Linked DNA regions of Callithrix jacchus. The protein of the gene in region 1 purifies or fractionates together with the protein of each later gene. This does not show direct contact. Links are inferred from orthologs where the notes say so. Each region holds a gene or a part of one and is shown in the gene's direction. Other genes may lie near its edges. The genes, in order: RARA and KLF5.

What was found.
Region 2: the proteins of RARA (region 1) and KLF5 purify together in Homo sapiens (affinity purification with western blotting; 4 studies listed by BioGRID). This does not show direct contact. The link is inferred for Callithrix jacchus from reciprocal best matches to the Homo sapiens genes RARA and KLF5.

What each region holds. Positions count from the first base shown.
Region 1 is NC_133506.1:92,950,824-92,955,078, reverse strand, and holds the start of RARA (retinoic acid receptor alpha), read left to right. Parts: upstream 1-1,235; 5' UTR 1,236-1,342; intron 1,343-4,255. UniProt on the Homo sapiens protein: Receptor for retinoic acid. Retinoic acid receptors bind as heterodimers to their target response elements in response to their ligands, all-trans or 9-cis retinoic acid, and regulate gene expression in various biological processes.
Region 2 is NC_133502.1:42,208,277-42,212,851, reverse strand, and holds the start of KLF5 (Krueppel-like factor 5), read left to right. Parts: upstream 1-1,618; 5' UTR 1,619-1,930; coding exon 1,931-2,191; intron 2,192-4,451; coding exon 4,452-4,575. UniProt on the Homo sapiens protein: Transcription factor that binds to GC box promoter elements. Activates the transcription of these genes.

The sequences.
Region 1 (4,255 bases):
GGGAGAGAACTGAGGCACATTAGGGTGAAAGGCTTGACCTAAACTCACCCCATGGACTCCACCCTGGGGCCTTCCATCCTAACTTCCCAGCTCCTTTTCTGAGTTCTTTCTGGAAGACAAAAAGAGGTGTGGAGGCATTGCTGGTGTCCTCTCTTCTAGGGAGAGGCCATGCCCTCTTCTTTCAAGTCTGTCCCTGACTTCCTCTGGCCCTTATGACATTCTCCCTGATCTGCTGCTAGAGATATGTGCAACTCTCCTTGCAAAATGTTCCCAATCCACAACTTCAGAATTCTTATCCACCTTTCTCTTGCTCATCTAGCCCGCCAAACCTGAATTCTCCCTTTGAGCTATTGAGAAGATTGGCTATACTAAACTGAAACAGTGACCTTGAAGTTGATCTATTGTTTTGAGGTCCCTGTGCCCCTATATTTATCCAGAATGGTACATAGGAAAATATTCTCTCTTTAACTTGTTTATTTTGGTCATAAAGATTCGGACCTTATTGAGGGCTGGGTAGGGGCCCTAGTTGACCTCTAGGTTCTGCATCCTGTTCTTCCACTGACAATTATCATCTCCAGTAATAGATGTAGCCCAAGGTCCTTTTTTGTTTTTTCTTCTTCTCTAACCGCACCTGCTTTTACTTTTGCCTATATAAGTATATTTGCAGACCCCACACACCCAGATACACACAAATTGGTCCTACCTGTTTCCAGCTGCCATCTAAGTTAGCCTGCACTTTTTACAGGCTGAAAATCTGTTTTTTTTCCCCCTGGATGGCCTGCCTCCTAGGCACTTGAGAATAATTGGGAGGGATGAAGAGACTCCTGCAGTCCACAAGGAAGAGGACAGAAGTGAGCATCCAACTAAAAGGAATGCTCCCTTCTCCAAATTTCTAGCTAAATGCCTCAGCGGGAGTGGCAGGAAAAGAGTTCTTAACCCCACCTCTAGCACCAAAACCTAAGTCCATCTGCTCAGGGCAGCCAGGAAGAAATGTCTATTTTCTCCTGTTTTATGTCATCCTATCCTCGTTATCCATATGCTGTGTATTTGATACTGGGAACTGTTCCCGTCCCCAGCCGGTGATCAGACCCCCATCTTTGTTCCAGTGCGTTATTTCTCCCCCATCAGTCCTCCACTCTGCACCGGCTGACCCAGTCAGGGCTGGTGTAATTGGGCGGGGAGAGTCTTCTGTTTGGCGAGTGGGCTTTAGGACCCAACGGGAACCCGTGCCTCTTGCAGCAGCCTAACCCAGAAGCAGGGGGGAATCCTGAATCGAGCTGAGAGGGCTTTCCCGGTTCTCCTGGGAACCCCATCGCCCCCCTGCCAGCACACACCTGACCAGGTAGGACCATGCACACCCCTTCCCAATTCTTCCTTGGCCGCCTTTGACTGGCCTCTGCTTCCGATCTAGCCGTTTCCCTCTCGTCAGTTCTGGCTTTCCCCATCCCTCCTCTCCTGTCACTCACTGTAGTCCTGCGAGGTGGGAGTCTCGGAACAGTAGGGTGTCTGAAAGCTCAGAGCCCACTGCACCCTCCAGCTCCTTTCCCGCATTTCTCCTGAGGCAGTCCTCGTTTCCTAGCTAAGAGTGGGGAGTAGGGGGAAGGTCTGCCCAGGCCCACGCCCTTGCACCCTCCTTTGCAGTATTGCCTAAAACCCCTTCCCCCACCTCACCTAGACTGGAGAATTGGCAAGTGCTGGGGTAACAGAGAGGACAGAGCCAGAGAGGGACCTGAGCTTTCCTGAGGGATTTCTTTCTTGCTTCCTAGCCCAAAGAGCTCAGGACGTTGTCCCCAATCCCTACTCACCTTGTAGGGGAACTAATGTCCCTTTCCAGGTTCATTGCACACCTGGGTGGCCAAGGGCTTTGCAGGAAGCTAGTGGAGGTTGTGAGCATTTTGGTGACCTTTTCCTCTGGGAAACTTCTTTCAGCTTAGAGCCCCCATCCCTGTCAACATCTCAACACCTTCTGCAGAAGCGCTCCCCCCTCCCCCCCACCCCCGACCCCTGTGTGCGTGTGTTGACAATGTGGTTGTAAGATCTAGAAGCTTTGGATAGAGGTGGCTGCAGGCATTGAAAGGGAGGGATACCAGAGTGTGGCCAGGCTAGAACAGGCTCAGTCCAGATGGCTAGGGAAGGGGGTGTGGACCAGATTGAGGAGGTCACCCAGCCTTGCCAGCTCCCTGAGCTCCTTTGCTTTCAGTCTCAGGCTCCTGGTGTTTCTCTAGAGCTATAAGGTCCCCGAGCTTTTGCCCCCTGCCCCCACATGCTCTCAGAGAGGGCTAGATGGCACCTACTGTTTACAGTGGCGTATTTTCTCCTGTGGTGGGCAGACAGGCCCTGCTCTCTGATGATGATCTAGGGCATGCCATTCTGGTTTGGTGGGTTTATAGGAAGGGTGTACACTGTCTGAGTTACCGTGTGTGAGTGTATATCTTGCTTCTGGGGGTAGTAGACTGGGGAGGGGGTGATAGAACAGACTGGTCACACTGAGAGAACTCCTCTAGTTCTCAGTGTGTGGTAGGGGTGGGTTGCATGTCCCTGTCTGGTAGCTGTGTCTAGGTGTGGGGTGTACTCTGCATTCTTCCATGGCTCCCCGGGTCCCCTAAGGGTTGGTTTTGGAGGACAGGGTAGATAATGGAGTGGCTTCACACTTTGTTCTGGTCTTGATCCAAGAAGGAAAGTAGAGATTCTGAGTGTGAGCAGTGGACTGGGAATCAGAGGCCTGAATGGAGACTTAGCCTGGTTATTTAACTATGTGTGTTTATGTAGGTCTTCCCCTGTGCTAAGTCTCAGTTTCTTCATTTGTAAAAATGGCTATCAGCAAGCAGGTCTGCCACCAAGACCCCACAGATAATGTATTGTAAAGCTCAGTCCAAATGGTAGTAATGGCTGGGGGGATCTAGGATGGAATCCTCTTCCTAAATCTAGGTCAATCTCTCTGCCTTCAGTTTTCTTCCCTCATCCTTTACCCATCTGGGAGATGGAGGAACCAGGCAGGGCTATTGCCCCGGGTACTGCAGAATTCCCCTGCAGGTTGTAGCTGTTGCCAGAGCACCTGTGGTCAGAGAGTACAGATCTCTCCACCAGGCATTTCTTCCTCTGGGGCCCCATACTTTCTCCCCTGAGCCATGTCTCCACCTTCCTTCTGCCATCCCTGCTTGGCGTCCTTGTCTCTCTCTCCCCTGCCCAGTGGCCTCCTTGTCCGGCTCACTGGGCAGGAGCCCTAATCGGATTCGACAGCTGAGATATGTGTGGCGGCTAAGAGCAGGCGGGAGGGAAGCCAGTGGGAGGATGGTATGAGGACTGCCCCTGGCACTGCCCCGGCCTCCCAAGCACCACCTTGGGCCTGCTGATTTCTTACTTGGCTTTGCCCCAAGGAAGGGGTGCCAGAGGAAGCTCAGGAATGAACAGGCTGGGGTCTGGAGACTAGGGGAGGAGGAAACACACCAAGGTCTTGAGGACCTCGTTGATATTTGATGGCCTTAATGTCAGTATCTCTGACTCTGATAAGGAGGAAAGGACAGCGATGAGCCAGGCGGCCCTCACCCTCGCCACCTCATTCCTATAGCCCCACTTTCTTTTCTCTTCTTGTTCAGAAATGTGTTCATTTTGCCTCATCTAGCCCCTTTGGTCAGTACTTCCTTATGGATCACATCTGGGAGCTTCTGGGGGTGCCACATGTCTGCCTCAATCTGGGCTGTTTCCTCCCCTTCAAGGTATTTCACTCTCTCTGGGCTGGGTGCCAGGACTCCTGGGTTTCCCGCCTGCCTGTGGTGCAGGGCTCCCCTGCAGGGCTCCAGAGAGTCGCTTAGCTGGTTTCCTTCCTCCTGTGTGGGGAGGGCCTTCCCCTAGGGTTGGGAGGTGTCAGGAATCCCAGGTGGGATGGTGTGGGGGCACAGTAGCCTCTGGCACTGTAGCACCTCAGCTTCTTCCTCCTAGCCTCTGACTCAGCTTGGGGGCAGCACATGCCCAGCCTAGCAGGCATGGCCTATTCTTGCCTCCAGGCTTCTGTCTTTATAGAAGCCTAGATCTTCTCCCATTTTTAAGCGTTTTTTCCCCCATGGTATCTGGGGGTGGCTATTGAAATCCCTGTGTTTTGGGGAGCAAGGGACTAACATAATTGAGGCTGGGGCACTATTTTGTCTTCCCTCCAGCTGGGCCAGGATGAAGGAAACTGTCACAACTTCCCCATGCCAATTCCTTCTGCCCTCAAAAGACCAGTCAGTGGAGCCAGGCCCTGCCCTCTGGGTGCCCA
Region 2 (4,575 bases), on another chromosome or scaffold:
ATGGGGCTGCTTGGTTAGAGAAGAACTTGCAAAAGCACTCATTAAATAATACTTTGGTAACATGAAAGTAGTCATCAGCCAGTCCCTGAAAGCAGCGATCACAGCTATAAAAATGAATCAGGTATCAACAGGAAGAGAAGGAAAAGGAGAAAAACCTAGTTTACAGCAAAATTTTATAATTTTTTAAAATAAATACACTTCTTTATGTGCATGTTAATTTTCTACTCATTGAAAATGAGATCCATACCTTTGACAGATACACTCTTTGAAGTGAATGTTTTTTCAAATACTTTTGTTTTTTCAACAAGCTGTTTTACTCTGAAGTGATGAGTCGGCTGTTGTATATGTAAAACTGTCTAATGGTATACTGTGCTGTCAACATCTGTACATTTGTAGTAATATTACAGGCATTTTTATTGCAGTTTATTGTTCCGGACTCCCAATAAGCCAGATAAAATCATGTACAAGAACATTAAGGATTAAGGGAAGTGGTTTCCTTAGGTGATTGCTGGCAAAAATTCACCCTCCCATTATAACAACATAGTAAATGGATGGTAATATATTTGGCTATTACTTTCCAACAAATTTGGATTCCTAGTTTTCAGAGCTGCTCTGTGTCTATGTTTGTGGCTTTTTGGTTGTCTCTTCGCAGGAAAAGGTGCCACAATATGAAGTAAATGTGCGAGGTTTCTGTTTTGTAAATATTAAAGTCCATTTTTTGAACATACAGTGCTAGTAAAAATAAGTCAAAGATGTAATGTCTATTTAAATACACATTTGAGCTAGTCATGCTTAAATTAGATTCCATGCTTCGGCTAGAATCAACATAATTAAATATTAGAAACTTCAAAATTCATATGGCCCAAGCTCTCCTCTCCACACACAGATAGAAGGTAGCAATGTGTGGGGAAAACGTCTAGCAATTAAAATCCTAAAAGAAGGGGGAAAACGCAGGCTTTTATGCAAGGACTTGAAAAAACGCTTGCCATCGAATCTTTTATTCAGGCATTCTGAATTTGCTTTGTTAAATGGATACACTCACTGCTAAAGATACAGAGAGACAAGAGCTGTTTTAAATTTGTTTATCACACCGCCCCTAGTTTTCTGCTAAAGAGAAGTACATTTTGGATATTTAAAAGTACACACTCATCAGACAAGTCTCTAAAAGCCTCAGCGCCCCCACCTAGCTGCCTTCTGGGTTTCAGCTTTTGAGTTTCAGGTCCTTGCACAACACCTAAGACGTGCAATACTCTTTCTCCCTAATCCTGGCAGAGAACAGTGCGAAGAGATCTCCCTCCGCGTCTCCACCCAAATTCCCCCTCTTCCCAGATTCCACCCGCTCCGCTACTTCCCTCCGCCCCCGGCTCCGCCAGCCCAATCTGTCAGAGAAGTTGTGTACAAACTGCGCGGCGGCCCTGCGCGCGAAGCTCGTGGCCGGAGAGGGGTGCGGTCGGGCCGGTGGAGGCGGGGCCCCGGCTGCCTCTCTCCCTTTCATAGGCTGGTCGCTTCTGCCTGGCCGGCCTCGGAGCCTCAGGATTCGTGGCGGCACTGCCAATCAGGCGAGCGGGCCCCGCCCTCCTGGAGTTGGGTGAAATAGAGGCGGGCGTCAAGTGTCAGTAGTCGCGGGGCAGGTACGCACGCTTGTAGCTCTGTAGGCGGTGGCGGGAGCGGGCTCCGGAGAGCTTGAGAGCGCGGTGGGGCGGGGCGGGAGAAAGTGACCGCCCGGAGGACGTTGGGGTTTACGTGTGGCAGCGGAAGAGTTTTGCTTTTGGTGCGCGCCTTCGAAAACTGCCTGCCGCTGACTGAGGGGTCCGCCCGAAACCTCCCCTCCTCCGCCCGCAGTCCAGCGCCGAGCTCGCTGGCCTGAGCCAGCGTGGGCGAGGTGGGAAGTGCGCCCGACCCGCGCCCGGAGCCGCGCCCCCGAGTGCCCATGGCTACGCGGGTGCTGAGCATGAGCGCCCGCCTGGGACCCGTGCCCCAGCCGCCGGCGCCACAGGACGAGCCCGTGTTCGCGCAGCTCAAGCCAGTGCTGGGCGCCGCGAACCCGGCCCGCGACGCGGCGCTCTTCCCCGGCGAGGAGCTGAAGCACCCACACCACCGCCCGCCGGCGCAGCCCGCGCCCCCACAGGCCCCACAGCCGGCCCAGCAGCCCGCAGCCGGTCCGCGGCTGCCTCCCGAGGAGCTGGTCCAGGTAGGAAGAGCCGCTCCCCTCCCAGCGCTGCACTCCCGGGCTCGGGCGTGTCCCGCCGCTGCGACGGGCAGGCGACAGGGGCCGCTCCAAGCTGGGGCGTGCGTCGGGGCGCACCGGAGCCGGTGCTGGGGAGGCAGACACCCCCCACCCCCCCCCCCCGCCTGGCCGGGGCCCCGCGTTTCGCGGAGATTAAATGGGAGTCCGGGCCAGGGAGAATATGCCCCGGCGGGTCGTCCTGGGAGAGATCAAAGGGAGGAGAACTGGGTGCTCACGCGCACCTTAGTTGTTTTTCTTATACTTGAGGGATGAAACCTTGTACCTTACGCTCAGTTTTACTTAAATTACGCCTTCGACTTTACCGCTCTCCAATGCCAAGGAATTGGAGCACCCCCCCACACACACCCCCATCGTCTCGGGTTAAGTAGAAACGCAAATTGGGGTGCTGTGGAGAGGTTCCCCAAGGTTTCATACCCTGTGGCTAAACCTGCTTTTAGAAGAGATTGCGGGCCGCGTTTGGAAAATGAGGGGGAAATGAGGGGAAAGCTAAGGTGTTGGAGCGCTTATTTTTCCTTAAAAAAAATACCGGGGAGTTGTTTTCTTCGTGTGCGCGTAAATTTCCTCCCGGGGCCGCGTTGAAAGCTGGCAGTTGGCTTTTACACTTGCCTAGCAGCCGAATTAGAGCCACCGCCTGTTTCTTTCGCCCACGCAGGGAGTCATATAGCCCAGAAAAAACTTCCCAGGACTTTTAGCCTGTCCCAAGGAAAAAAAAATTGGAAACATACCCACATGCAAACAGCTGGAAGAGCTAAAATCAGAAACCACTAACCGCCGCGGGAGCGCAGTGCACGAAAGGGTTTAGTTCAGTTTATTTCAAGACACTTCATTTAGTAGCCCTTTGGCGTATCGTGTATTTGCTACCCAGCGCCTACTCAGTGGGGTCTGCCAGGGTCCTGCTGTGAGGGGGCAGTGGCGTTCGTCAGAGATGTGACTCACATGATGAGAGCGTTAATTTTTATTTTTAAATGGTGTCTATCCGGGAAACCCCGTCCGTATCCACACCAAGGTCCGAGATTAAACGCTCTTGAAATGAAGTAGTAACAGAAAATGACTGTCTTATTTACCGATTAAGGTGCCACAGCTAATAGTTCTTCTATGCGCCGTTCCATCTAGTTGGTTTTCGTATCTTTTGAAATTTCCTTTTCAGTGTTAAAAAATGTAAGTTTAAGTTATACTAGGAGAGAAGATAGCTGGAAAAGGGTTGAGATGACTTGTTACAAGCTGCTTCATAGCCTAGAAAAGAGATCTCTGTTTGAAAAGTATTTGGTTATTTCTGTTTGTGTCAATTTTCTGCTCTGGAGGCACTAAGAAGATAAGGGATGACTGAGCTTTTTACAGAGTAGGGGGGAATGTAGCGTTGGCCCACTGAGGAGGACATGATAAATGTTTTGCTGATGACTGTGCTAGGGATACAGCAGCCTCCCCACCCACTAGCAGCACTCTACCAAGGGAGTGATTTTCCCCTAGGTAATTAAAGATCTGTTTTAGATAGGGATATGAATAGGAACATTTCATTGTCATATTAACCAATTACAGGATCTGCTGATTAAAATCAACATTTAGATCAAATACTGAATGTGAAATTGTTTTGTCTCAGTGGATACAAGGTTTTGCTTAGAATATTGTATTTAATTTCCCATTGAACTGTAAACAAGAAAAGACTGAAATAGCCAAATAATTTTTTTTTAGTATTTGATACTTTGGAAGTATCTAGCCAAGCAAAGAAACCTTTGCAATAATTTAAAGATTTGCACTTTCTCTTTTTTAAGAAAAACTTTTTAATGTTTATGACTTAAACAGAATTGAAGCAGTTTGGCAACGTTTCAATACTGTACTGTACTCTAATTGCAAACTTAACTGTGTAATGGGGCAGGGAATCCTGCTTGTACAGGGGTGATACCTTGTTATTGCATCAGAAAGGAATGTTTTCAGTTTGCTTTCTTTTTTTTCTTGATTTGCGTCTTTCACTTCTGAGGTGATTGAGGGAGCAGTTTTACCAGTTACACAGAGTTTCATAAGGTTTTGGTCAACCAATTATATTACATAATTGATTAAATAAGCCTGATATGTTTTTAAGCAACACGGAGAAGTTTGCCCTAATACCTCACACAGGGATTGGGAGAATTTTAATAGGCGCCGATTGTCCTTCCTGAGACTGTGCATCAGGTGGATTATGCATGTTTGTATCTCTTCTCTTTTTTAGACAAGATGTGAAATGGAGAAGTATCTGACACCTCAGCTTCCTCCAGTTCCTATAATTCCAGAGCATAAAAAGTATAGACGAGACAGTGCCTCAGTCGTAGACCAGTTCTTCACTGACACTGAAG